3 linked regions of the Macaca mulatta genome follow. The protein of the gene in region 3 purifies or fractionates together with the protein of the main gene of each other region. This does not show direct contact. Links are inferred from orthologs where the notes say so. Each region holds a gene or a part of one and is shown on either strand. Other genes may lie near its edges.

Region 1 (7,673 bases), on a different chromosome or scaffold from region 3:
TTTTCATTTACTTTATTATTTTCTAGAAAGTATTTCATGTTTGGTTTGGGGATCAAATAAGTATTAGCATACGAATAAATTTACCAATGTCATAATTGCATCAAAAATTGACAAAATTGCTCTCATGCCCTAATACTTGAAATCGTTGGCCAGGCGTGGTGGCTCACACCTGTAATCCCAGCACTTTGGGAAGCTGAGGCGGATGGATTACTTGAGGTCAGGAGTTGAGACCAGCCTGGCCAACATGGTGAAACCCTGCCTCCACGCCGGGCGTCGTGGCAGGCGCCTGTAATCCCAGCTACTTGGGAGGCTGAGGCAGTAGAATTACTTGAACCCGGGAGGCGGAAGTTGCAGTGAGCCAAGATCATGCCACTGCACTCCAGCCTGGGCGACAGAGGGAGATTCTATCTCAAAATAAATAAATAAATAAATAAAAATTGTTGCCTTTTTTTTTTTTTTTTTAAAGAAAAAGCGATTGCTTTATTGCTTTGTTTTCATAATTTTCCAGTTTTGTTTGTGAACAGCGAGTTTCCGACTGGTCTTTCAAGCACTCGTTTATACCTTTTTTTTTTTTTTTTTTTTTTTTTGAGACGGAGTCTGGCTGTGTCTCCCAGGCTGGAGTGCAGTGGCGTGATCTCGGCTCACTGCAAGCTCCGCCTCCCGGGTTCACGCCATTCTCCCGCCTCAGCCTCCCAAGTAGCTGAGACTACAGTAGGCGCCCGCCACCACTCCCGGCTTGTTTTTTGTATTTTTAGTAGAGACGGGGTTTCACCATGTTAGCCAGGATGGTCTCGATCTCCTGACCTCGTGATCCACCCGCCTCGGCCTCCCAAAGTGCTGGGATTACAGGCTTGAGCCACCGCGCCCGGCCTTTTTTTTTTTTTTTTTTTTTTTTTTGAGACAGAGTTTTACTCTTGTTGCCCAGGCTGGAGTGCAATGGCGTGATCTTGGCTCACCACAACCTCTGCCTCCCGGGTTCAAGCAATTCTCCTGCCTCAACCTCCTGAGTAGCTGGCATTACAGGCTCGTGCCACTGCGCCCTGCTAATTTTTGTATGTTTAATAGAGACGGGGTTTTCACCATGTTGGCCAGGCTGGTCTCGAACTCCTGACCTCGTGATCCGTCAGCCTCGGATTCCCAAAGTGCTGGGATTACAACTGTGAGTCACCACGCCCTGTTTATATCTTTATATTTTAAGTTGCTGGGGAGGAAGGTCCCAACTTCTAAAGGAATTTAAAACTGAAAGTCCTGTATCCTAGAAACCCCTCAGCCCTGTTCATGCTATTAGCTTCCTTCCTAATAGATGGGTATAGTAACACCAATACTTTACAGGTTTCTTTTTTTCTTTTCTTTTTTTTTAAAGACAGAGTCTTGCTCTGACACCCAGGCTAGAGTGCAGTGGCACAATCTCGGCTCACTGCACTCTCCGCCTCCCCAGGTTCAGGCGATTCTTGTACCTCAGAGTCAAGGAGCTGGGACCATGCCTGGCTAATTTTTGTATTTTTAGTAGAAACAGGGTTTTGCTATGTTGGCCAGGCTGATCTCGAACTCCTGGCCTCAAGCAATCTGCCTGCCCTGGCCTCCCAAGGTGCTGGGATTACAGGTGGGAGCCACCGCGCCCAGCCACATTGCAGGTTTAAAAGATTCCTGGCAATGTCAAGCACTCGAATCTTCCAAAACTGTAGCCACTAGACACATGTGGCTACCGGGCCTTCAAATTTTGACTAGTGCTACTCACAAGCTGAATTTTTTTACTTGATTTTTAAATTTAAATTATTATTTTATTTTTTGAGACAGAGTCTTGCTCTGTTGCCCAGGCTGGAGTGCAGTGGCACAATCTCAGCTTACTGCAACCTCTGCCTCCCGGGTTCAAGAGATCCTCCTGCCTCAGCGTCCCAAGTAGCTGGGACTACAGGCACGCACCACCATGACCGGCTAATTAGTATTTTTTTGTACAGATGGGGTTTCACTATGTCAGCCAGGCTGGTCTTGAACTCCTGACCTCGTGAGCGACCGCGCCCAGCTAAATTTAAAAATTGACACTTGATTCAGCTTTTGGAAAAGTTAAGTATGATTGGAATAACAGAATATGTGAATCTACATTCTCAACTGTAAATTTAATATACTCTACCAGTCCGGGCAACAGTGAAACCCGTCTCTACCGAAAAAAAAAAATAAACTTAATTAATTAACTGGGAGTGGTGGTATACACCTGTGGTCCCAGCTACTTGGGAAGCTGAGGTGGGAGAATCGCTTGAGCCCACGAGGTTGAAGCGGCAATGAGCCGAGACTGAGCCACTGCACTCCAGGGTGGGTGACAAGAGAGAGATCCTGTCTCAAAAACAATTTTTTTTCCAATAAAATCTAAACACAGATATTTCTGATGAAAATTCAGTATCCCAACAGAGACTTGCTGGAAGGACAAAATATATCACATTTTAAAGACATCGTAAGGTTAATAAGGAACGTATATCTTTAATAATTTGATTACTGAAATAACATTTTGAAAATACCGCACTGAAACGTTAACACTAATTTCATCAGTTTCTTCGTGCTTTTTGTGGCTACCGCAAAGTTTAAAGTTATGTGTGTGGCTCGCATTATATTCCTAGCGGACAAGCCCGACCTACCAGGCCTAGCAAATGGTAAAAGCCACCAAAATAGTGGCACATGAGCTGCATGATAGGAAACAGAATGTTATTCCTCTGTGAAGATTAGCAATACTTGACATCAAGTAGCTCTTCAAAGCACAGGACTACCTAATGCTGAGAATTACTCCTCCCGATTTTGCAGTGTCGCATTTGTTTTTGTGAGCGCCTTAAGTTCCTTTCCGACAAGGCTCGCAGACAGTTCTGATGGGGATGAAGGAATGGAGCACTTGGGACTTGCCTAGGCTGTAAGGTGAAGTTTTAGAATTGTCACTTCGGACTCGGTCCCACGCCCAGAAAACGCAAACAGTCCCAAGTTTCCACACTGGCCACGCCAGTCCGCGACCCATGGCGGCTCCCAAGGCTGCGCCAACCTAGCCGCCCACACCCGCGACCTTCCCCGGAAGCGTTTCCATTTCATTCCTTCAAGTCCGCAAGGGGCCGGGTGGGTCCCGAGCGCCCGACTCAGCCGCAAAGGCGGCCCCGGGAAAACGCTCTCGGAAGCGGGTAGGGGCCCGGGCCCACGCCGCCCGGCGTCCGCAGGCCAGGGACAGGGGAAGGAACAAGAGAAGGCGGCGGCAGGCGGACCCGAGGCCGAGACGCCGGGGCCCGCTCGCAGAGGCCGCAGACGGATCCACGCCCCTCGCGCATCCTGGAGCGGGGCTGATGACGAACACAGAGCGCGACGGACGCACACACCGCCCCGCGCTCGCACGACGGTGCGTGCAGGGAGGCGCGAGGGAGCCTCGGGCTGTCACCGGCGCAGTCAGCGTCCCGCCTCCTCCGCTCCCTGCGCTCCCGCCACCTCGGCAACTCCGCGCCCGCCTCCCGCCTCCGTCGGAAGCCTCCGCCGCAGTAAGGCTCCCGGTCTCGCTGCTGTCTCTTTAAATGGTGGGGCTCCGAGCCGCCCCTGCAGCTGCTCCCTGGGTGGCCCCGCGCGCCGCTTTTGAGGGGCGAACCAAGATGGCGGCGGTTTTGGCTGTGTGAGGAAGACGGAAGAGGCGGCGGCGGAGGGAAACCGACTTCCACTAGCCCGGGGCGGTCGGGCGGCCGGGGGCTTCAGAGTCTCCCAGGCAGTGGTAGCATTTGCAGAAGGATCAGGCGCCTGTCGGCTTCTGACGTTTGAAGCAGGGAGCGGAAGGGAGCCACTGGCCGCGGTGGCAGGGCCAGGTATAAGGAAGGAAAATATGGCGGCGGCGGCAGCGGCCTGAGGAGGCGGCGGCGGCGCGGGAAGCTGCTTCGCGGAGATCATGGCGGAGGCGGGAGCAGGGCAGTGACGGGAGCCCCGAGTTCCTAGCGCTGCGGGGCGGGAGGCTACGAAGCGCTGCGCGGCCCCCTCGGGGCTGCCGGGCGCCGGGCTCGCCGGGCCTGGACAATAGCGCCGGGGAGCCGGAGGCGAGGAAAGGCGGCGGCCCAGAACTCGGTCCCGGGAGCGGGCCATGCAGGCGGCGGCGCGGCCCCGCGGCGCCCAGCGGCGGCAGTGAGGCCGGGGAGCCCTCCGCTCGCGGGCGCCCTCACGCCTCGCCCCTCGCCTCTCCAGGACCCCTTTCCTGGGCGTCTACTGGCGGGGCCCCCGCCCCGGTTCCCGGGCGGCACGATGACCGACACCCGGCGGCGGGTGAAGGTGTACACGCTCAACGAGGACCGGCAGTGGGACGACCGGGGCACCGGGCATGTGTCGTCTGGCTACGTGGAGCGGCTGAAGGGCATGTCCCTGCTTGTCAGGGCTGAGAGCGACGGTAAGTGAAGCCCCTCGTGGCGGGCCCTTCGCAGCCCCCACGGCCCTGGGCCGCCTCCCTGGTTCTTGCGGGGCATGGCGCTCGCTCCACGAGAACGGAGGGACGGCTGGCCACGGCAGCCACCCCGGGGGAGGGCGGGCCCCAGGTACCCCAGTCCTGCGGGAGCTCCCCGGAGAGCGCCTGAAATGTTTCCTTTCTCTGAGTGCCTGGTGGCATTTTGGGTACGAAGAGAGCCAAGCGTGTTGAGCTGTGCCGCCCTGGAGTGTGTGAGGTCGAGGACCTGAGATGGGGAGTCCGGAGTGTACTGTTCTTTTGCACTAGAGTGACCTTGAGAAAGACACTGATTAATCCGATCTTCTGCCTTAGTTCACCCATCTGTAAAGCAGGCATGAAACTTTGCTTGGAGCTAAGAAAGTTCTTGGACCTTTCATACTTTGAAGAACATTTTGCTGTGATTTCTTTCTTTTTCTTTTTAAACGTCTTTTTGCTACATGTTTCTGATCCCGTTGGAGGTTGGCAACACTGGATCTGGCAACTCTACGCTAAGAGAAAACGCTTTACCTTGAGAAGATAGAGATTTTTGTTCACCAGTGTTGGTTGTCTTTTTTATAGTAATGCAGAATTTTGTGTGTAGCTCGCTATATAAACATCTTGCAAGTTTGGAATAATTTTATATGAGCTTTTTTTTTTTGATTGCTTAAATGGGTGTTCATAATTTCGTTAACAGGTGCAGAGAAGTTGGCAGATAATTTTTAAAACCTTTCGGATCTTCCCTAGTGTTTATGCTTCACACATTTTGAAACAACCCTCAAGGTTCAAAGACTAAGTTGTTTGAAAATAAGTGTTTCCCTTTTTTTCTTTTTTCCACATCTTCTGAGTGTTTCATATTTTAGAAGACTTATTCTCTCTAGGGATTGCCACTGTTTTTGGAGATATACAGTGAATTTCACTTAAAATATTCAAGTGGGGTAAAACTGTTGTCAAATTGTTACTTCCAAACGTGAAAGTAAGTTCTCTTCCACCTCTTTTGGTACATTGGTTTATATTTTACAGTTGCTAACGAGGTCAGTTTATTATGATTGTAGTGATTCTGTGTCTGAATTATTACAGACTAATTTCAAGGAATTTTCTTCAGTTGGACTCTACCCAGAATTCCAATTCCATAAAAAACCAACAAGACTAGCCCTTCTGTAGTTGAAGACTTTGGGAACATTGATGTTCTATTTAAATTGAAAGTGGTAATCTGGAGTATATTGCCCACAGGTTATAAGGTTACCCGAAATGACTTAAATCTGGAGAGAAATTATTTCCTTTTGGGGGCATTTAAAATTTTTTGAATGTTGGGTGTATTTTTCTGGGCCTGAGTTATTATTGGCTACTTAAAATACAATTTGAATGTCAAGTGTTAGTGTAATTTTGTATGTGACTCACGTAATAACCTACTCTAGATCTTTCACACATTTGGCAAACTTTACATAGTATGTTAGAAGGTATGGGCTTTTAGTAGATTTATCTGTAGGTTTCTTCTTAATTTTTTACTTTCAAAAAAATAAAAATAAAGACAGGATTTTGTCCTATTGCCAAGGCTGATCTGGAACGCCTGACCTCACGCAATCCACCCACCTAGTCCTCCCGGAGTGTTAGGACTACGGGCGTGAGCCACCATCCCAGCTGAAAGCATGTGTAGATTTGAGATCAATTCTTTGAACTCCATGTTAAAAATAATACATATAACCTTCACATCATGGGTTTAATTTGATTCATTATACAAAAAATCCTTTAAGATATTTTTAAGCATAAAAGGTTAATGTCATACTATCAGAAATATGCTCTTCTGCATAATTCTATGTTAATATAATTGTATGTTAATATAAAACTTTTTTCTGTGTGTGTATATATAATATAATACATAGTACATGTAGTATATGGCACATATATAGTATATATTATGTAGTACATATAGCGTATGGTACTTATATAGTATATATAATATGTAGTACATACAGTATATAGTACATATATAGTATATATAATATATACATATACATATATATATTTTTTTTTTTTGAGATGGAGTTTCGCTCTTGTCGCCCAGGCTGGAGTGTAATGGCATGATCTCGGCTCACTGCAACCTCCACTTCCTGGGTTCAGGCAATTCTCCTACCTTAGCTCCTTAGTATCTGGGACTACAGGCATGTGCCACTATGCCTGGCTAATTTTTTTGTATTTTTAGTAGAGATGGGGTTTCACCGTTTTGGCCAGTCTGATCTCGAACTCCTTACCTCGGGTGATCTGCCCACCTCGGCCTCCCAAAGTGCTAGGATTACAGGCGTGAGCCACTGTGCCCAACCTCCATTTATATTTTTACCGTTTTGGAAATAGCCACAAATCTCTCTTCCTCCATTTCGCAGGTTGGAGGTTAAATGACTACAACAAAATGACTTTAGTCTTTATCTAGCAGGGAGATAGCTTAACTCAATTACTGATGTGCCTTGTAAGTTTAGGCTGTAAGGAAAACTGAATCCAAAAAGGCTGGGTGCGGTGGCTCACGCCTACAATCCCAGCACTTTGGGAGGCCGAGGCAGACAGATTTCGTGGGCTCGGGAGTTCGAGACCAGCCTGGGCAACATGACAAAACCCCATCTCTACAAAATGTACAAACGTTAGCTTGTGCGGTGGCAGGGTCCTGTAATCCTAGCTGCTCTGGAGGCTGATGTGAGAGGATCACTTGAGCCCAGGAGGTGGAGGCTGCAGTGAGTTATGATCATGCCCCTGCACTGGGTGACAGAGGGAGACCCTGTCATACACACACACGCACACACACACGCACCCTGGACTTAGAAAAAATTCCAGGATACTTGTGAGATATTGTCAGTAATTAGTTTGATGATTAACATTTCTTCCAACATCTAAGTAGGGATAAGTCAAAATTTACTGAGTACCTTCTGTGTGCCAAACTCTAAGCAATTTACTTACATTGACTTACATAATTCTCACAACAGTGCTCTGATTTAGTTAGTGCTGTTAGCCCTATTAAACCCCCATGTTACTGTCTACTTGCATTTGCTGCTCTATTAGCCTGAAGTTGTATTTTAAAGAAAATGAAAATAACTTTCAGCCTAAAGATATTTTCGGCTGGGCACGGTGGCTTATGCCTGTAATCTCAGCACTTAGGGAGGCCGAGGCGGGCAGATCACAAGGTCAGGAGATCAAGAGCATCCTGGCTAATACAGTGAAACCCCATCTCTACTAAAAACATACAAAAAATTAGCCAGGTGTGGTGGTG
Region 2 (7,655 bases), on a different chromosome or scaffold from region 3:
CAGCCTCCCAAAGTGCTGGCATTATAGGCATGAGCCACCACACCTGACCTTTTTTTGTTTTTTTGTTTTTTTTTGAGACAGAGTCTCCTCTGTTACCCGGACTGGAGTGCACTGGCTAGCGGACTGGATGGCCACATTTCCATCACCCCAAAGCATTCCTTATCTCCCTTCCCAGTCAATTTCCATCTCCCTCTCCAGCCCCAGACATCCACTAATCTGCATTGTCTGCATTGGTTTTGCTTGCTCTGGAGTTTCATATGAATGGAATCATGCTGGATATCTCCTTTCACTCAGCTTCTTTTTAGTAGAGATGGGGTTTCACCGTGTTGGCCAGGCTGGTCTCGAACTCCTGACTTTGTGATCCACCCGCCTTGGCCTCTCAAAGTGCTGGGATTACTGGCGTGAGCCACCGCTCCCGGCCTTAATTTTTGTATGTTTCCAGTTTAGGGCAACTCTTTCTTTCTAAAATCTTCTGAAGTATTGTGATGTGCTACCAGAGTTGAGTTCAGAACTGTGGAGCCACCAAGGAAGAAACTTCCATAGGGGGGAAATGACTGTACCCTCTCTTTTCTGCAGGGAATGCCTTTCTGCAGCAGTGTCAGCAGTGATTTTATTGTAGAATCCTATTTTCTTTTCTTCTTTTTTTTTTTTTTTGAGACGGAGTCTCGCTCTGTCGCCCAGGCTGGAGTGCAGTGGCCGCATCTCAGCTCACTGCAAGCTCCGCCTCCCGGGTCTACGCCATTCTCCTGCCTCAGCCTCCCGAGTAGCTGGGACTACAGGCGGCCGCCACCTCACCCGGCTAGTTTTTTTTTTGTATTTTTTAGTAGAGACGGGGTTTCACCGTATTAGCCAGGTTGGTCTCGATCTCCTGACCTTGTGATCCGCCCGTCTCGGCCTCCCAAAGTGCTGGGATTACAGGCTTGAGCCACCGCGCCCAGCCTTTTTTTTTTTTTATTTTTTTGAGATGGAGTCTTGCTCTGTTGCCCAGGCTGGAGCCATCTTTGTTCACGGCAACCTCCACCTACCGGGTTCAAGAGATTCTCCTGCCTCAGCCTCCTGAGTAGCTGGGATTACAGGTGTGTGCCACCACACCACCTGGCTACTATTTGTATTTTTTTAGTAGAGACAGGGTTTTACCATGTTGGCCAGGCTGGTCTTGAACTCCTGACCTCAGGTGATCGGCCTGCCTTGGTCTCCCAAAGTGCTGGGATTACAGGCGTGAGCCACCGGGCCTGGCCGAGAATCCTATTTTCAAGAACTGCTATTTAAAAGAACCAAGCTTAAGGAAGAGGAAACACCTTTCTATAGAGTGCTCAGCCCCTCCCCAATCTATCTGGTACTCAATTTGGTTTTGCTGGATTGGGGTGTGTGTGCTTTTGGGGAGAAACACGCACCTGCAGGTATATTCACTGCCTGCTTCCATCATAACTGCACCCCAATCCCCAGTAACTAAGTAGGTATATATTAAGCTTAGGTAAATTGAATCCAGGTGTGTCATACTTATGTGAGAAATTTTACCAGTATGTCCTGAGGCTTCTATTTTTTTTTTTTTTTTTTTGAGACAGAGTCTTGCTTTGTCACCCAGGCTGGAGTGCAGTGGCACAGTCTCAGCTCACTATAACCTCCACCTCCCTGGTTCAAGCAATTCCCCTGCCTCAGCCTCCTGAGTAGTTAGAATTACAGGCGCATGCCACCACGCACGGCTTTTTTGTATTTTTAGTAGAGACGGAGTTTCACCATGTTGGCCGGACTGGTTTTGAACTCTTGACCTCAGGCAATCCGCCCGCCTCGGCCTCCCAACATGCTGAGATTACAGGCATGAGCCACCGCGCCCGACATAGGCTTCTGATTTTTAAAATTTCCTCTATCAGGTTAATTTTTTAATATTTGTTTTAATTTTTTTTTTTTTTTTTTTTTTTTTTTAAGAGACAGGGTCTCTATCACCCAGTCTGGAGTGCAGTGGTGCAGTCATAGCTCACTGAAGGCTCAACCTGGGTTCAAGTGATCCTCCTACCTTAGCCTTTGGAGTAGCAGGGACCACAGGTACAAGCCACCACACCACATTAAAAAAAAAACCCACACAAAAATTGGATACATGGGGTCTCAATTTGTTGCCCAGGCTGGTCTCAAATTCCTGGCTTCACGTGATCCTCCCGCCTCAGCCTCCCAAAGCGCTGGGATTACAGGGGAAGGTTCATTTTTCATCTCTCCATTACACCTGTCCACTCTGCCACCACTCGTCAGCTGTTATTACTAATAGATAAATTAGGCTTTAAATGAACTTAGGAAGCCTGGAAAGAGAAATAGGGACTTAGGCCGGGCGCGGCAGGTCACGCCTGTGATCTCAGCACTTTGGAAGGACTTGGCCAGAGGATAGCTTTTGAGTTTGAGTTTGAGGAGTTTGAGATCAGGCCGGGCAACAGCCCGACTCCACAAAAAAAAAAAAAAAAGAAAAGAAAAGAAAAACAAGGGCTTTCACGGTCAGTCAGACTTGGCGAGGACGCTTGGGTCTGACGCTTTCCACCGAGTTTATTTTTCTGAGCTTCAGCGTTCTCTCCAACATGGGGATACGTATCTCCTGGGGATGCTTTAGAGGGCCTAGGAGATTAAGCCTGGTTTCTTTTTTTTTTTTTGTTGAGAGAGAGTCTCGCTTTGTCGCCCAGGCTGGAGTGCAGTGGCCGGATCTCAGCTCACTGCAAGCTCCGCCTCCCGGGTTCACGCCATTCTCCCGCCTCAGCCTCCCGAGTAGCTGGGACTACAGGCGCCCGCCACCTCGCCCGGCTAGGTTTTTGTATTTTTTAGTAGAGACGGGGTTTCACCGTGTTAGCCAGGATGGTCTCGATCTCCTGACCTTGTGATCCGCCCGTCTCGGCCTCCCAAAGTGCTGGGATTACAGGCTTGAGCCACCGCGCCCGGCCCAAGCCTGGTTTCTTTAATAGTTTGCTATTCGCTGATTCCCGGCCTCCTCGCGGCTTGGCCTACCGCGCTCGTGTTCTGGACTAACGAACAAACGGCTCACTCAATTCAAACACGAGTCCCAGCCTGGAAAAGGCCGAGTCGGCGGTTAAAAAAAAAACCTTTCCCCTCCCGACCCTCCGCAGATGTCGCCCCCTCACTCCGCCTAGGCTAGCCCTGCCTCTCTCAAGATGGCGACCTGGAAGTGCGTCGCCTGGGCCAGCCCCGGAAATCTCGTGTTAGGCGAGGCCAACGGATAGGTTCTCGCGAGAGGACCCGTCAGCCCCAGCCGGGCGTCGTGCGAACAGCAGCTGGTACCAAAGGCGGAGGTGGAGCCCGAGCGGTAAGTGCGTGTGCAGAGGTGGCAGTTCCGGGGGCCGCCGGAGGCCGAGGAGGTGTAGAGAACAGATTTGGAAACTGGGGAGGTCTAGCATGTGGCGTAGGAGGGGGTCCGCACTCCAGTTCGCAATTGCCAAAACAAGCCTGCCGGAAGCGCGCTAAGGGGTTTTCTTCTCACAGGGAACCAGCGGGGAAACTGAGGCTTGGGGTGGCGAGCAGGACTGTGGGACGCGCTGAGGCTGCTGTCTTTCCCAGCAGCAGCGGAAGATGTCGGACAGCGAGGACAGCAACTTTTCCGAGGAGGAGGACAGCGAGCGCAGCAGTGACGGCGAGGAGGCCGAGGTCTGTGGCTGGGGCGCCGGGGGAGACATTGCACCTGGGGGCAGGACTCCGGGTAGAAAGCCCACTGTGGGAGGCTCGAGGGGTTCACAGCGGACTCTGGCTTCTGGGAACTCCCAGATTATCGCAAGAGATAGAGAATTAGGCAAGTCGAAGACAAGTAAGGGGACAGGTTCTGGAGGCGAGAAATGTGTTAGGTCCAGTGAGATAACAGGTGATGTTTTTGAAGTTTACTCTGTGTGCATATAGTAAGCACTCAGCATTAGTTGTTTTTTTTTTTTGGTTACGTCTAGTCATTCCAGAAATTTATTTGTAGTGCCCACTACGTACCAGGTGCAATTCTTTGTCTTTGGGGTACACCAGTAAACAAAGCAGATTTTAAAAATGTCTGCCTTCGGGAATGTAAATAAATATAGCCAAGGAATGGACTATATAGTAAGCTAGAAGGTACTCTGGAGAAAAGGAGAACAGAAAAGGGGAATGGAGAGTCCTGGTTGCACTTGCAATAGGGTCATCAGCGTGACTTGTTGGAGGTGAGGGAGTGAGTCGTGGTTAGCTGGAAGTGGAGTATTCCAGTGAGGGGGACCAGCAGGTACAAAGATGGAAGTGTGTCTGCCGTGTTCAAGGATTAACGAGGATTTGAGAGGCCAAGCTGGGAGGTTCACTTGAGCCCAGAAGTTCGAGGGCAATCTCGGCAACATAGTGGGGCCCTGTCTCTACAAAAATATAAAAAAATTAGCTGAGGCCGGTCTTGGTGGCTCACACCTGTAATCTCAGCACTTTGGGAGACCAAGGCAGTGGATCACATGAGGTCAGGAGTTCAAGACCAGTCTGGCCAACATGGTGAAACCCTGTCTCTACTAAAAATACAAAAAAATTAGCTGGGTTTGGTGCCGCCCACCTGTAATCCCAGCTGCTCAGGAGGCTGAGGCTGAGAATCGCTTGAACCAGGGAGATGGAGATTGTGGTGAGCTGAGATCGCGCCACTGCACTGCTGCCTGGGCGACAGAGCAAGACTCTGTCTTACAAAAATATTAGCTGAGCTTGGTGGCACGCTCCTGTAGTCCCAGTTACTTGGGAGGCCGAGGTGGGAAGATCACTTGAGCCATAAGGTGAAGGTGCAGTGAGCTGTGATGGTACCACTGCACTGCAGCCTGAGTGACAGAGTGAGACTTTGTCTCCCCACCACTGCCTAAAAAAAGGGGGTCCAGTTTGGTTGGATCAGAGTGAGTGCAACGAAGAATTTATGGGAGCCAGGTCATATAGGATCTTGAAAGCTGTGGTAAGGAATTTGGTTTTAACTGAGTAAAATGAAACCTCGAAAAAGTGTGAGCAAGTGAAGATATGATCTAATGTTTTGAAAGGATCACTCTGGCTTTGGGTCTCTTGAGTACCTCTGTTCCGGGAACCAAAAAACCAACATTTCCTGGGGCATTTCTGATTTCAAATGTTCTTTTATTTGCCATTATTCTTTTTTTTTTTTTTTTGAGACAGCATCTCCATAGGTTGGCACAGGCTGGAGTGCATTGTCATGATCTCGGCCCACTGCAACCTCAGCCTCCCGAGTAGCTGGGATTACAGGCATCCACCACCACATCAGGCTAATTTTTGTATTTTTAGTAGAAATGAGGTTTCCCCATGTTGGCCAGGCTGGTTTTGAACTCCTGACCTCAGGTGATCCACCCTCCTTGGCCTCCCAGAGTGCTAGATTACAGGCGTGAGCCACTGCACCAAGCCCAGTATCCTCCTTTTAAACTTATTTTAGTTTTATTCGTTCGTTGAACAAATCAGTATTTCCATCTACTACTGTGTTCCACTTACTTCCCAGGTGTCTGGTAGGAAATCTTTACTTTTTTGGAGTTGACATTTAGTAGGCAGCAATCATAAACTAGTAAATAGGTGACAGGGTGATTATAGATCTCTTGTTTGATGCACAGAAACTTCAATTGGCTTTTTAAATAAGTTGCCAATGCTTGTGAGGGAGATTTATCATAAAGATTAAGATTTCTTGCTTTTTCTGGGAAAGTGGAAGGAGCTGGCACGCTGGGACCCAGGGTTGTTCTGCAGAGCAGCCGTTTGCTTGATGAGTGGCTGTCCTACTTACAGCTGGGAATTTTCTCCAGTTCCCAGGATATGTTAGTTGCCATTTATCATCTTGCTTGTCTCGTGGCAGAGTGAAGAAAAGGAAGAGATTTCACGTGGCTGTGTTCTGGAAATTGTTTGGTAGATGGAGAGTGCCATGTGTTTTGGGTGATTTGTCCCACTCATTTATGTTGCCTGCTTATCCTATGTGGACATTTGATTGCCAGTCTTTGTTGTGCCCTTTGGGGAGGTGCCTGGTAGTGAATAGTTGGAGAAATTGGGATGCTGTGGTGGGGGAGGGATGAGTGGGGGAGTGACAGGGAGGGCCTTTTCTCTAAGCTGTAGCACTGGATTCTTGGTCTCTGATTCATGGCTTGGAGACACTGCTTGTTGGTTAAAGTCTGGTGGAAATGAGACCAAGATCCCCAGTTCCATTTCCTGTCTGGGACATTCTCGTTTGCGCTGTACTAGTCTAATTTCCCCAGCACTACACCATACTTGACTCCTCCCTGCTGGCTCCTCTTCAGTTACCAGGTGAGGCAGGAGGGCAGTGTGAGGCCTGTCCCCACCACCAGGAACAGGATTGGATGACCTTTTCAGACAGCCAAATGGTGACATAGTCCTTGCAGGACAGGGTTCTGTGGCTAGACAGGTAGGGATGGATGGCAAATAATGAGCTACTTTTGAAGGGAGCTGCTGGTTCACCCATCACAGCTACAGTAACTTGTTCATTTATTTCAACAAATGTTCCTTGACTTGTCATGTTGGGGTCATAGCCTCCCTTACGGAGATCTCAGTCTCAGGGCAGAGAGAGTTTTATAGATACACAGTTACTGCAGGGGATGTTGAGGACAGTAAGAGCACATCCAAGCCCTGAGGTGATGCAGAGAGTGGCGGGGACTCTCTCCACTGGGAGGGAGGAGCCAGGTTTGTAAAGAGGCTTCTCTGGGACCTGGCAGAGGGGGACTGATGACAAGGTTCCTAGAAATCAGCCTGTGGTCCTGTCATAGTTTGGGTTGTTAAAACGCGCTTCATTGTGGGCTAGTCAAGATTATGTGTTAAGCAAATATTTCTGAAGTCTTCTGTGCTTGGCCCTGGGCTGGGTGATGTTGGGGGACCCAGCGGTGCCTGAGATGAACTGGACCCTACTATTGGGAGGCTCACGGTGGTCAGGGCTGTGATGGAGGGAGCACAGAGAATTGTGAGCGTAGAGGATGTGCCTGACTCTGCTCGGGGGAGAGGGGGCGGGGGTGGCTGCCTGCAGGAGGAAGGTTGGTTTTTTTTTTTTTTTTTGAGATGATGTCTTGCTCTGTCACCCAGGCTGGAGTGCAGTGGCGTGATCTCGGCTCACTGCAGCCTCTACCTCATGGTTAAGCAATTCTCCTCTCTCAGCTTCCTGAGTAGCTGGGATTACAGGGGTATGCCACCACACCTGGCTAATTTTTATATTTTTGGTAGAGATGGAGTTTCACCATGTTGGCCAAGCTGGTCTTGGAACTCCTGACCTCAAGTGATTGCCTGCCTCAGCTTCCCAAAGTGCTGGGATTATAGGCATGAGCCATCTTGCTCAGCCCTTTTTTTTTTTTTTTTTTTTTGGGACAGGGTCTCACTTTGCACCCATGCTGGGGTGCAGTGGTATGGTCTCGACTCACTGCAACCTCAACCTCCTGAGGAACAAGCAATCCTCCTACTTCAGCCTCCCAATGAGCTGGGACAACAAGAATCTGCCACCATGCCTGGTTAAGTTTTGTATTTTTGGTAGAGACAGGGCTTTGTCAGATTGTCCAGGCTGGTCTCAAACTCCTGGGCTCAAGTGATCCTCCTACCTTGGCCTCCCAAAGTGTTGGGATTACAGGTGTGAGCCACCATGCCCAGCTAGGGAGGGAATATTTTAGTTGAAGTATTAATGGGGGGCACACTTTTTTTTTTTTTTGGAGATG
Region 3 (7,874 bases):
TCCAGCCTGGGCCACAGAGTGAGACTCCGTCTCAAAAAAAGAAAAAAAAAAAAAAAGTTAACTGCTGATGGGGTGAAGAAAAAAGGATGCCTGGGGGAAGAACCTCTTATTCTTATGCAAATGGTTCCTCTACCAGGGAGAGAAGCTTAATTACTGTCAGCCTTGGCCAGGAAAGGGGAAGATGCTGTGGACATGTGGCATTCTCCAGCCCCAGCTGGGAGGAGAGAAGGAGCTTGGAGCCACGGCTTGCCTGTCCTTCCCAAAAAATGAAGGCAAAGGCCACGGAAAGGCCCTTGACCCCGGGGAGGGTTGGGGGTGGGGGCACGGTTTCCCTACCCTCAGAAGTCCATGCATGAAAAGGCTTAGAAATGACAGAGAAGTTTTGAGTCCCCATGTCACTCACCACTTCTCAAGTCCCACATTGGGTGCCAAAGCTGTTGTAGGACTTTCTCCTTAGTTCAGCTAAGAGCTGGGTCCTTGCAACACGGCCATGAAATACTAGGCTTGCAGATGCCTTGAAGGGTGAGAATGGAATTTATTGGGCAAAAAGAAAAAAAGGGAAACAGAGACTCTCCCCAAAGCCAGAGTGCTTCCTGCCTGGGAGACTGAATCCCAGGTTCCACCAGGAAAACGAGGGGCCAGGTTCCTCCCCACTGCGAATGGCACAAATTTCCCAAGGTTCACCCCAGTGTGCATTCCTCCCAGTGCACAGGTCAGTAGGAGATTCTGCCAGGGAACCCTTCCCACCTGGCTGTCTTACCAGCACTTTGGCAGGCTGACGTTGGAGGACTGCTTGAGCCCAGGAATTTGAGATGAAAAAAGTATAAAAAAGTTAGTGGGGTGTGGTGGCCTGCACCTGTAGTCCCAGCTCCTTGGGGGCTGAGGCGAGAGGACTGCTTGAGCTTGAGGGGTTGAGGCTGCAGTGAAGCTGCCCGGATCATGCCCACTGCACTCCAGCCTGGGTGAGACAGTGAGACCCTGTCTGCAAAAACAAAAGATTTATCTACATAGCAAAGTGAAGAGGAAGGATTAATAAATACAAGTGTTTCTCAAGGAAATGTCTTAGGAAAAGGGAAGACAGATAAGATCTCTCTCTTTTGCCAAAAGAGAACGTTCAATCTTATTTTTTACATGTATACACTCTTCCTTAGGGGCAAAATGGATGTTTGATGAAAGATTCACCAACGACGAGAATCTACATCTGATAAAGAGGAGACGAAGACATATCTGAGAGTGTGAGTCAGGGGTTCCAGGAAGCGGGGGAGGAATCACGTTGGTCCATCTGTGTCTATTTTTCTTCTCACAGAGAAGAAAGAGACTTGGGCCTAGGAGCAATATGGCAGAAACACACATCAGGCAAGTCATTCCTGACAGGCAGAGAGAAACTGCCTACTCATCGGGATGCCACTCTCTTATTCTACTCTCTATTGTGGGCAAAAGGTAGCCCCAGGGTCCTCCCAATTCTGTGGCACTGAGTATGGAGAGGGCATAACTGGATAGCTGAGTAAAAATCCAGTGCACATTGCTGCCTTACAGCCAATAATAGTTGCTCACCAGTGGTATGAAGCCTCTGTGTGCCTAGAACTGAGCTACTGGGTAGATACAGTGTGTGTGGGAAGGGGAGTCTCCAAGGGGAGTCATCCCCAGAAGGGGAAGGTAAGATACTCTTCCAGGATCAGGCTCACCTTTCCCATCCTTGAAGGGGGCTGGGGATGGAAGGTTTTATTTTTTTACCATTTTGGGCATGGTACACACTCTATCAGCAGAAAAGGGAATTAATAGGAGATTATTTGGGTAGACTGATGGCCTTAAAACAAACTGGGTATTATCTTGTTCTGTCAGGGGAGGAGTTGACACTTTCACTAACAGTTCTGAGCAGACGCAACAGCAGGACAGACCAGAAGTGTGACCTAACTCAGGCTGCCTCAGAGAGATGGCTGTCAGACTGTCTCTACTGATGGGACTCTTACTGAGGGGGTCCAGGCATTCAAGGGGTTGAGTTTCCCAGAAAGTTCCCCATCGAAGCTTTAAAAATGTATTCCCTGCAGCCTTATGCTCTTGCAGTTCCAATACAGCATTGGTGTTTAAAGCCAAACTACTTTATAATTGATTTGCCATCATCCAGCTTTATATTTAACACTAATTTAATCTGGTAACAAAGGAAAGGCTCGTTAAAGGACGGCATTCATAAAATGCTTCCAAGCACCTCTGCTTAACTCGAAGGGAAAATAAAAGGGACTGTTTATTTGGTAGGCAGAGGAGAACACCGCCACGAAACGGTTCTCCACTGAGCAACTCCTGCCTTTGTCAATTATACACATTATTTAGTAACTTTTTTGGAGACATGGACCTTCTCAAACTCCCCAGTATGCTTTGAAACTTTGATAAAGAAATGTACAAACAAAACTCTAAGTGTTCTGGAATTAATTTCAGACGCTTCATAGATCCTCGTAAGTACTCACCGTAAGAAAAATTCCCCATTTCTGGTACTCCAATCTCACGCCCTTAGAATTCTCCTAAGACTTATTCCCTTGAACAACTTTCCCTAATACCAAATCAAACCTAGATCCAGCTGGGACGCCAAGCTTGCGCTGTGGTAACGCTCAGAAGGCCTCCTTCATCAGTAAAACAGATGCCTTAATGGAAGTGACGGGCAATCAACGCATGGAAAGGGGCTTGGCTTCCCTCTTTTTTGGGTTTCTCTAGGTTGTCTAGATTGGAAAAAAATACACGCTTCGTCCTGCGGAGTTCGGTACAAACGCAATTGCACATATGCAAAGGCAAACCAGGAGCGCAAGTGCGCGTCCGGGGACCGCGACCGGGAGGGGCGGGGCCGAGCGGGGCGAGAGACGGACCGCTCCTCCCATTCGTCGCCGCCTTAACTCTTTGCTATCCTTCCGCAGAGCTTCCTCTTCTTTCCCTCTGACCTCGGAAAGAAGGGGGCGGGGCCTTCGGGGGCGGAAGTTGCAGTGCATTGTGGGTTCGCCTGGAGCGGTGGAGTTGATCCTGAATGAAAGTGGCGCGCTGCCCCTGACGTTACCCGGATTTGAGCGGCTGGAATTCGGATTACTGCTGCGATTCGGGTGTCTCGGACCCCGGTGCGCACCGGACCACGGGGAGGCGGCTGCAAAGGCGCGGCGAACGTTGGTGAGGGAGGGCAGCTCTGCGCAGCCCCCAAGACATGGCTCACAACAAGATCCCGCCGCGGTGGCTGAACTGTCCCCGGCGCGGCCAGCCGGTGGCAGGTAACCTGGACTGGGGGGTATTCGAATCCCCACACTCCAGCGTGCCCGGGGGTGGGCCGACTGAGGAGCTCAGCTTTTGGTGGTTCTGTGCCCGTTAGTGGTATTTCAGGAGTGGGATATGCTCCATCTGATTACGCTTCGTGGACGAATGTTTGGGAACATGAACGGGAGGGGATGGTCGGCGGATGGGGGGCACTTGTCACTATTCCTGCCAGGCTAACTGTGCGAATGTGAAGGTAGACAGTAGGTTGGTGGCAGGAGGTGAGGATCCAGGAATACAGTGGGCGTACTTTGAGTCTTAGTAGTTTGTGAACCTTTTAGGGTTCAACCTTCCCCTCGAATTAGAAGGGATGAGTGTCAGTCTTGAGATGGAGGAGGATAAGGAGGGAAGGGGCGGTTCCCAGCGGTGAAATGGGGTCACATTGAGACTGGGAATCTGGAGGGTGTTTTTGTTAGTTTTTTGTTTTTATTTTTTTTTGTGAAACAGGGTCTCTCGCTGAGGCTGGCGATCCTCCCACCTCAGCCTCCCAAGTAGCCGGGACTACAGGCTCCTGCCATCGCACCCGGCTACTTTTTTTGTTTATTTAATATATATATACACATTTATAATATATATATTTGAGACATAGTCTCTCTCTGCCGCCCGGGCTGGAATGCAGTGGCGTGATCTCGGCTCCCTGCCTTAGCCTTCCAAGTAGGTGGGATTACAGGTGCGTGCCACAACACCTGGCTAATTTTTGTGTTTTTAGTAGAGACGGGGTTTCACCATGTTGGCCAGGCCGGTCTCCAACTCCTGTCCTCAAGTGATCCGCCCGCCTCGGCTTCCCAAAGTGCTGGGATTACAGCCGTGAGCCAGCACGCCCAGCCATAATTTTTTTGTTTATTTCTTGTGGAGACAGTTTCACTATGTTGCCGAGGCTGCTCTTGAACTCGTGGACTCAAGCGATGCTCCCACTTCGGCCTCCCAAAGTGTTGGGATTATAGGCGAGAGCCACCCTGCTTGGTCTGGTTTTTGTTTCTTTAAATCATTTTTCTTGTAGTTTTTTTATCTTTATTGAGCTTGAATACAATAGGCTTTAAAGTGTACAGTTTGATAAATTTTGACTATATATACACAAATACATCTCTTTCCTAGGAAACAACCATGAAACCATCACCCCTCAAAGTTTCCTCCTGTCCCTTTTTAAATCTCTTTGCCTGGCAACTGCTGATCTGCTTTCTGTAATTATAGTTTGCATTTTCTAGAAATTTTTAAATAATTGGAAACATATAGTGAGTACTCTGCTTGGGGTGGAAGGAAGTGTGTGTGGCTTTTTTCACTAAGCATAATTATTTTGATACTCATCCAGATTATGCATGTATCAATAGTTTATTCCTTTTTTATTGCAGTGTAGTAGTCCATTGTTCTGGGTATACCACAATTTGTTTACCTCTTCATCTATTGATGGTCATTTGGGTTGTTTCCAGTTTTTAGCTATTACAAATAAACCTGCTGTGAACATTTATGTACAAGTCATTGTATGGACATATACTTTCATTCCTTTTGTGTAAATCTCTAGGAGAGGAATGGCTGCATCATATAATAGGTGTATGTTTTAAGAATTTTAAGAAACTGCCAACCTGTTTTCCAAAGCGGTAACACTTGATAGCCCCACCATCAATGTATTATACAGAATAAATTCAAAGGACTTAAAAACTCGCAAAAAATTTGGACACTTCACAAAATAAGATATATGAATAGCCAAAAAGCTATGATGGCGTGGTGGTGTGTGCCTGTAATCCCAGCTACTCGGGAGACTGAGGCAGGGGAATCACTTGAACCCGGGAGGCGGTGGTTGCAGTGAGCCGAGACTGCACCACTGCACTCCAGCCTGGGTGACAGAGTGAAACTCCATCTCAAAAAAAAGTAATTTGTACTTAATCGTGTAATTTATTAGTAAGGGTTCTCTACAGGGACAGAACTAATAGGATATATATATACACACACACGTAAAGGGGAGTTTATTAACTATTAACTCACACAATCACAAGGTCCCACAATAGGTTGTCAGCAAACTGAGGAGCAAGGAGAGCCAGTCTGAGTCCCAAAACTGAAGAACTTGGAATCCAGTGTTTGAGGGCAGGAAGCATCCTGTACAGGACAAAGATGTAGGCTGGGAGGCTAGGCCAGTCAAGTCTTTTCACATTTTTTTTCTGCCTGCTTTATATTCTAGCTGTGCTGACAGCTGATTAGATAGTGCCCACCCAGATTAAGGGTGGGTTTGCCTTTCCCAGCCCACTGACTCAAATGTTAATCTCCTTTGGCAACGCCCCCTACACCCAGAATCAATACTTTGCATCCTTCAATTCAATCAAGTTGACACTCAGTATTAACCATCACAGTAATTTCTTTGATATTTTGCATATTGAGGAAAATGTTATGGCAGTTCAAACTTATATGTTGCAAATATTAGGATTCACTTTACTAGTACTAGAAGTTCATAATTTTCCTGAATCAGAAAGAAAATGGTACTAACTACATATAATATGTTCTCCTGTGAAGTCACCTTCTCTAATGAAACCAGACTTGCAATGAGAGAGAGCTCTTGGAGACAGGGCCAAGCTTTATTTTCTGGAGAATTGTTTTTTCCTCCTTCTGAGTTAATAGATTTCAGGTGAATACTTGGAAGAAAACAAACTTATAATTTCTTTCCCTTTTTCCTTTTTTTTCCTTTTTTTTTTGAGACAGGGTCTTGCTCTGTCACCCAGGCTGGAGTGCAGTGGCGAGATCTTGGTTCATTGCAACCTTTTCCTCCCAGGTTCAGGCTATTCTTCTGCCTCAGTCTCCTGAGTAGCTGGGACTACAGCTGTGCACCACCGTGCCCAGCTAATTTTTGTATTTTTAGTAGAGATGGGGTTTCACCATGTTGGCCACGCTGGTCTCCAACTGCTGACCTCAGGTGATCCACCTGCCTCGGCCTCCCAAAGTGTTGGCATTACAGGCATGAGCTACCGCACCCAGCCCTCCCTAGTTTCTTAAAGGTATATCATTCAACATAAAATTATTTCATACCTGCTATGTAAAGAGCTTACTAGGAACTGTGGGAATGTAAATATGAGACACAGCCAGGTGCATTGGCACATACTTGTGGTCCCAGGTACTGGGGATAGTGTGATGGTGATAGTGATGGTGATTTTGAAGTCATTTTATTTAGCAGATATTTAAATGTCTACTTTGTGCTAGTCCTGGGTGCTAGGGAGATGGCTAAGATATATTACCCTTAAAAAGCATAGTCTCATGGGAGTAGCAAACCATCCATTTTAAGCACAGTTCTGTTGTAAAAAATGTAGCAAAGACTATTGTAGTATACGATGGGAATCAGAGGTAATAAACCTAATTCCCTGAGGTTGAGGAAGAAGAGATGGGAAGGAAGGAGATCAGGTGAGACTTCCCAGAGGAGGTCGTACATGAATTATCTTGAGTAAATAGAAGTTTTCTAGATAAATAGTTGGCAGGGGGTGTTTTTGGAAAGTTTCTGTTAGGATAGGATGATGTAGGATGATGATGGGAGAGATAATAGACTGAAAAAGTGTTTTTGTTCTGGAAGATATAAGTGAGGTTATGAGGTTGGAGAATAGCCTGATCATAAGGCAAGTAGGGTGTGATAAGGTATCTTAATATTCATATGCTTTAAATTTTCACTGGTATACAATTGCAGTTTTTTTCAGCATCAAGATGAGATTATTTGAATCCAGGTTAAAAGCTTACTTTGACTTTTCTGTGTTTAATGAATTGATGGAGAGAGGAATGGAAATAGACTGATTAGGAACTTGTAGCCCAGGTGAAAGACAGTAGTGATGGTTTAGAAGTGAGACATGAAGCGTAGAAGGCTAATTTGAGAGATATTAAGAAGGGAAAATGGATGGAACTTAATGTTGTATTTAGAATGAGGGAAAGAGGGTCAAAATTTAGTCTGAAATGTCTGGCTTATGCAGTGAGATATTTGATATTATTAGGGCTTATGGAGAGAGAAGCAGGTTGGAGGCGATACTAAGATCCTGATTGCTCAAATAGAGATCTTTAGTAAAGATATTTTTTAAGAACATTTTAATTTTATTTCAGTAGTTTTTGGGGAACAGCTGGTTCTTGGTTACATGGATAAGTTCTTCGTGGTGATTTCTGAGATCTTGGTGCACCTGTCACCCAAGGAGTGTACACTTTAGTAGTCTTTTATCCCTCACCTCCCTCCCACACTTCACCCTGAGACCCCAAAGTTCATTATATCATTGTTACATCTTTGCATCCTCATAGTGCAGCTCCCGCTTACAAGTGAGAACACAGGATATTTGGGTTTCCATTCCTGAGTTACTTCACTTAGAATAATGGGGTCCAACTCCATCTAGGTTGCCGTGAATGCCATTATTTCATTCCTTTTTATGGCTGAGTAGTATTCCATGGTATATATACATACCACATTTTTGTTATCCACTCATTGGTTGTTGGGCATTTAGGCTGGTTCCACATTTTTGCAATTGCAAATTGTGCTGCTGTAAACATGCCTGTGCAAGTGGCTTTTTCAGATAATGACTTATTTTTCTCTAGGTAGATACCCAGCAGTGGGATTACTGGATCAAATGGTAGTTCTTCTA

What was found. The genes of interacting proteins can lie anywhere in the genome.
Region 1: the proteins of RNGTT (region 3) and PPP4R3A purify together in Homo sapiens (affinity purification with mass spectrometry; 3 studies listed by BioGRID and IntAct, with this or other methods). This does not show direct contact. The link is inferred for Macaca mulatta from reciprocal best matches to the Homo sapiens genes RNGTT and PPP4R3A.
Region 2: the proteins of RNGTT (region 3) and SUPT5H purify together in Homo sapiens (affinity purification with mass spectrometry; 3 studies listed by BioGRID and IntAct, with this or other methods). This does not show direct contact. The link is inferred for Macaca mulatta from reciprocal best matches to the Homo sapiens genes RNGTT and SUPT5H.

What each region holds. Positions count from the first base shown.
Region 1 is NC_133412.1:164,756,940-164,764,612, reverse strand, and holds the start of PPP4R3A (serine/threonine-protein phosphatase 4 regulatory subunit 3A), read left to right. Parts: upstream 1-3,334; 5' UTR 3,335-3,818; exon of another isoform or gene 3,819-4,188; 5' UTR 4,189-4,245; coding exon 4,246-4,387; intron 4,388-7,673. UniProt on the Homo sapiens protein: Regulatory subunit of serine/threonine-protein phosphatase 4. May regulate the activity of PPP4C at centrosomal microtubule organizing centers.
Region 2 is NC_133424.1:50,545,378-50,553,032, forward strand, and holds the start of SUPT5H (transcription elongation factor SPT5), read left to right. Parts: upstream 1-3,316; 5' UTR 3,317-3,561; coding exon 3,562-3,636; intron 3,637-7,655. UniProt on the Homo sapiens protein: Component of the DRB sensitivity-inducing factor complex (DSIF complex), which regulates mRNA processing and transcription elongation by RNA polymerase II.
Region 3 is NC_133409.1:97,011,127-97,019,000, forward strand, and holds the start of RNGTT (mRNA-capping enzyme), read left to right. Parts: upstream 1-2,971; 5' UTR 2,972-3,181; coding exon 3,182-3,245; intron 3,246-7,874.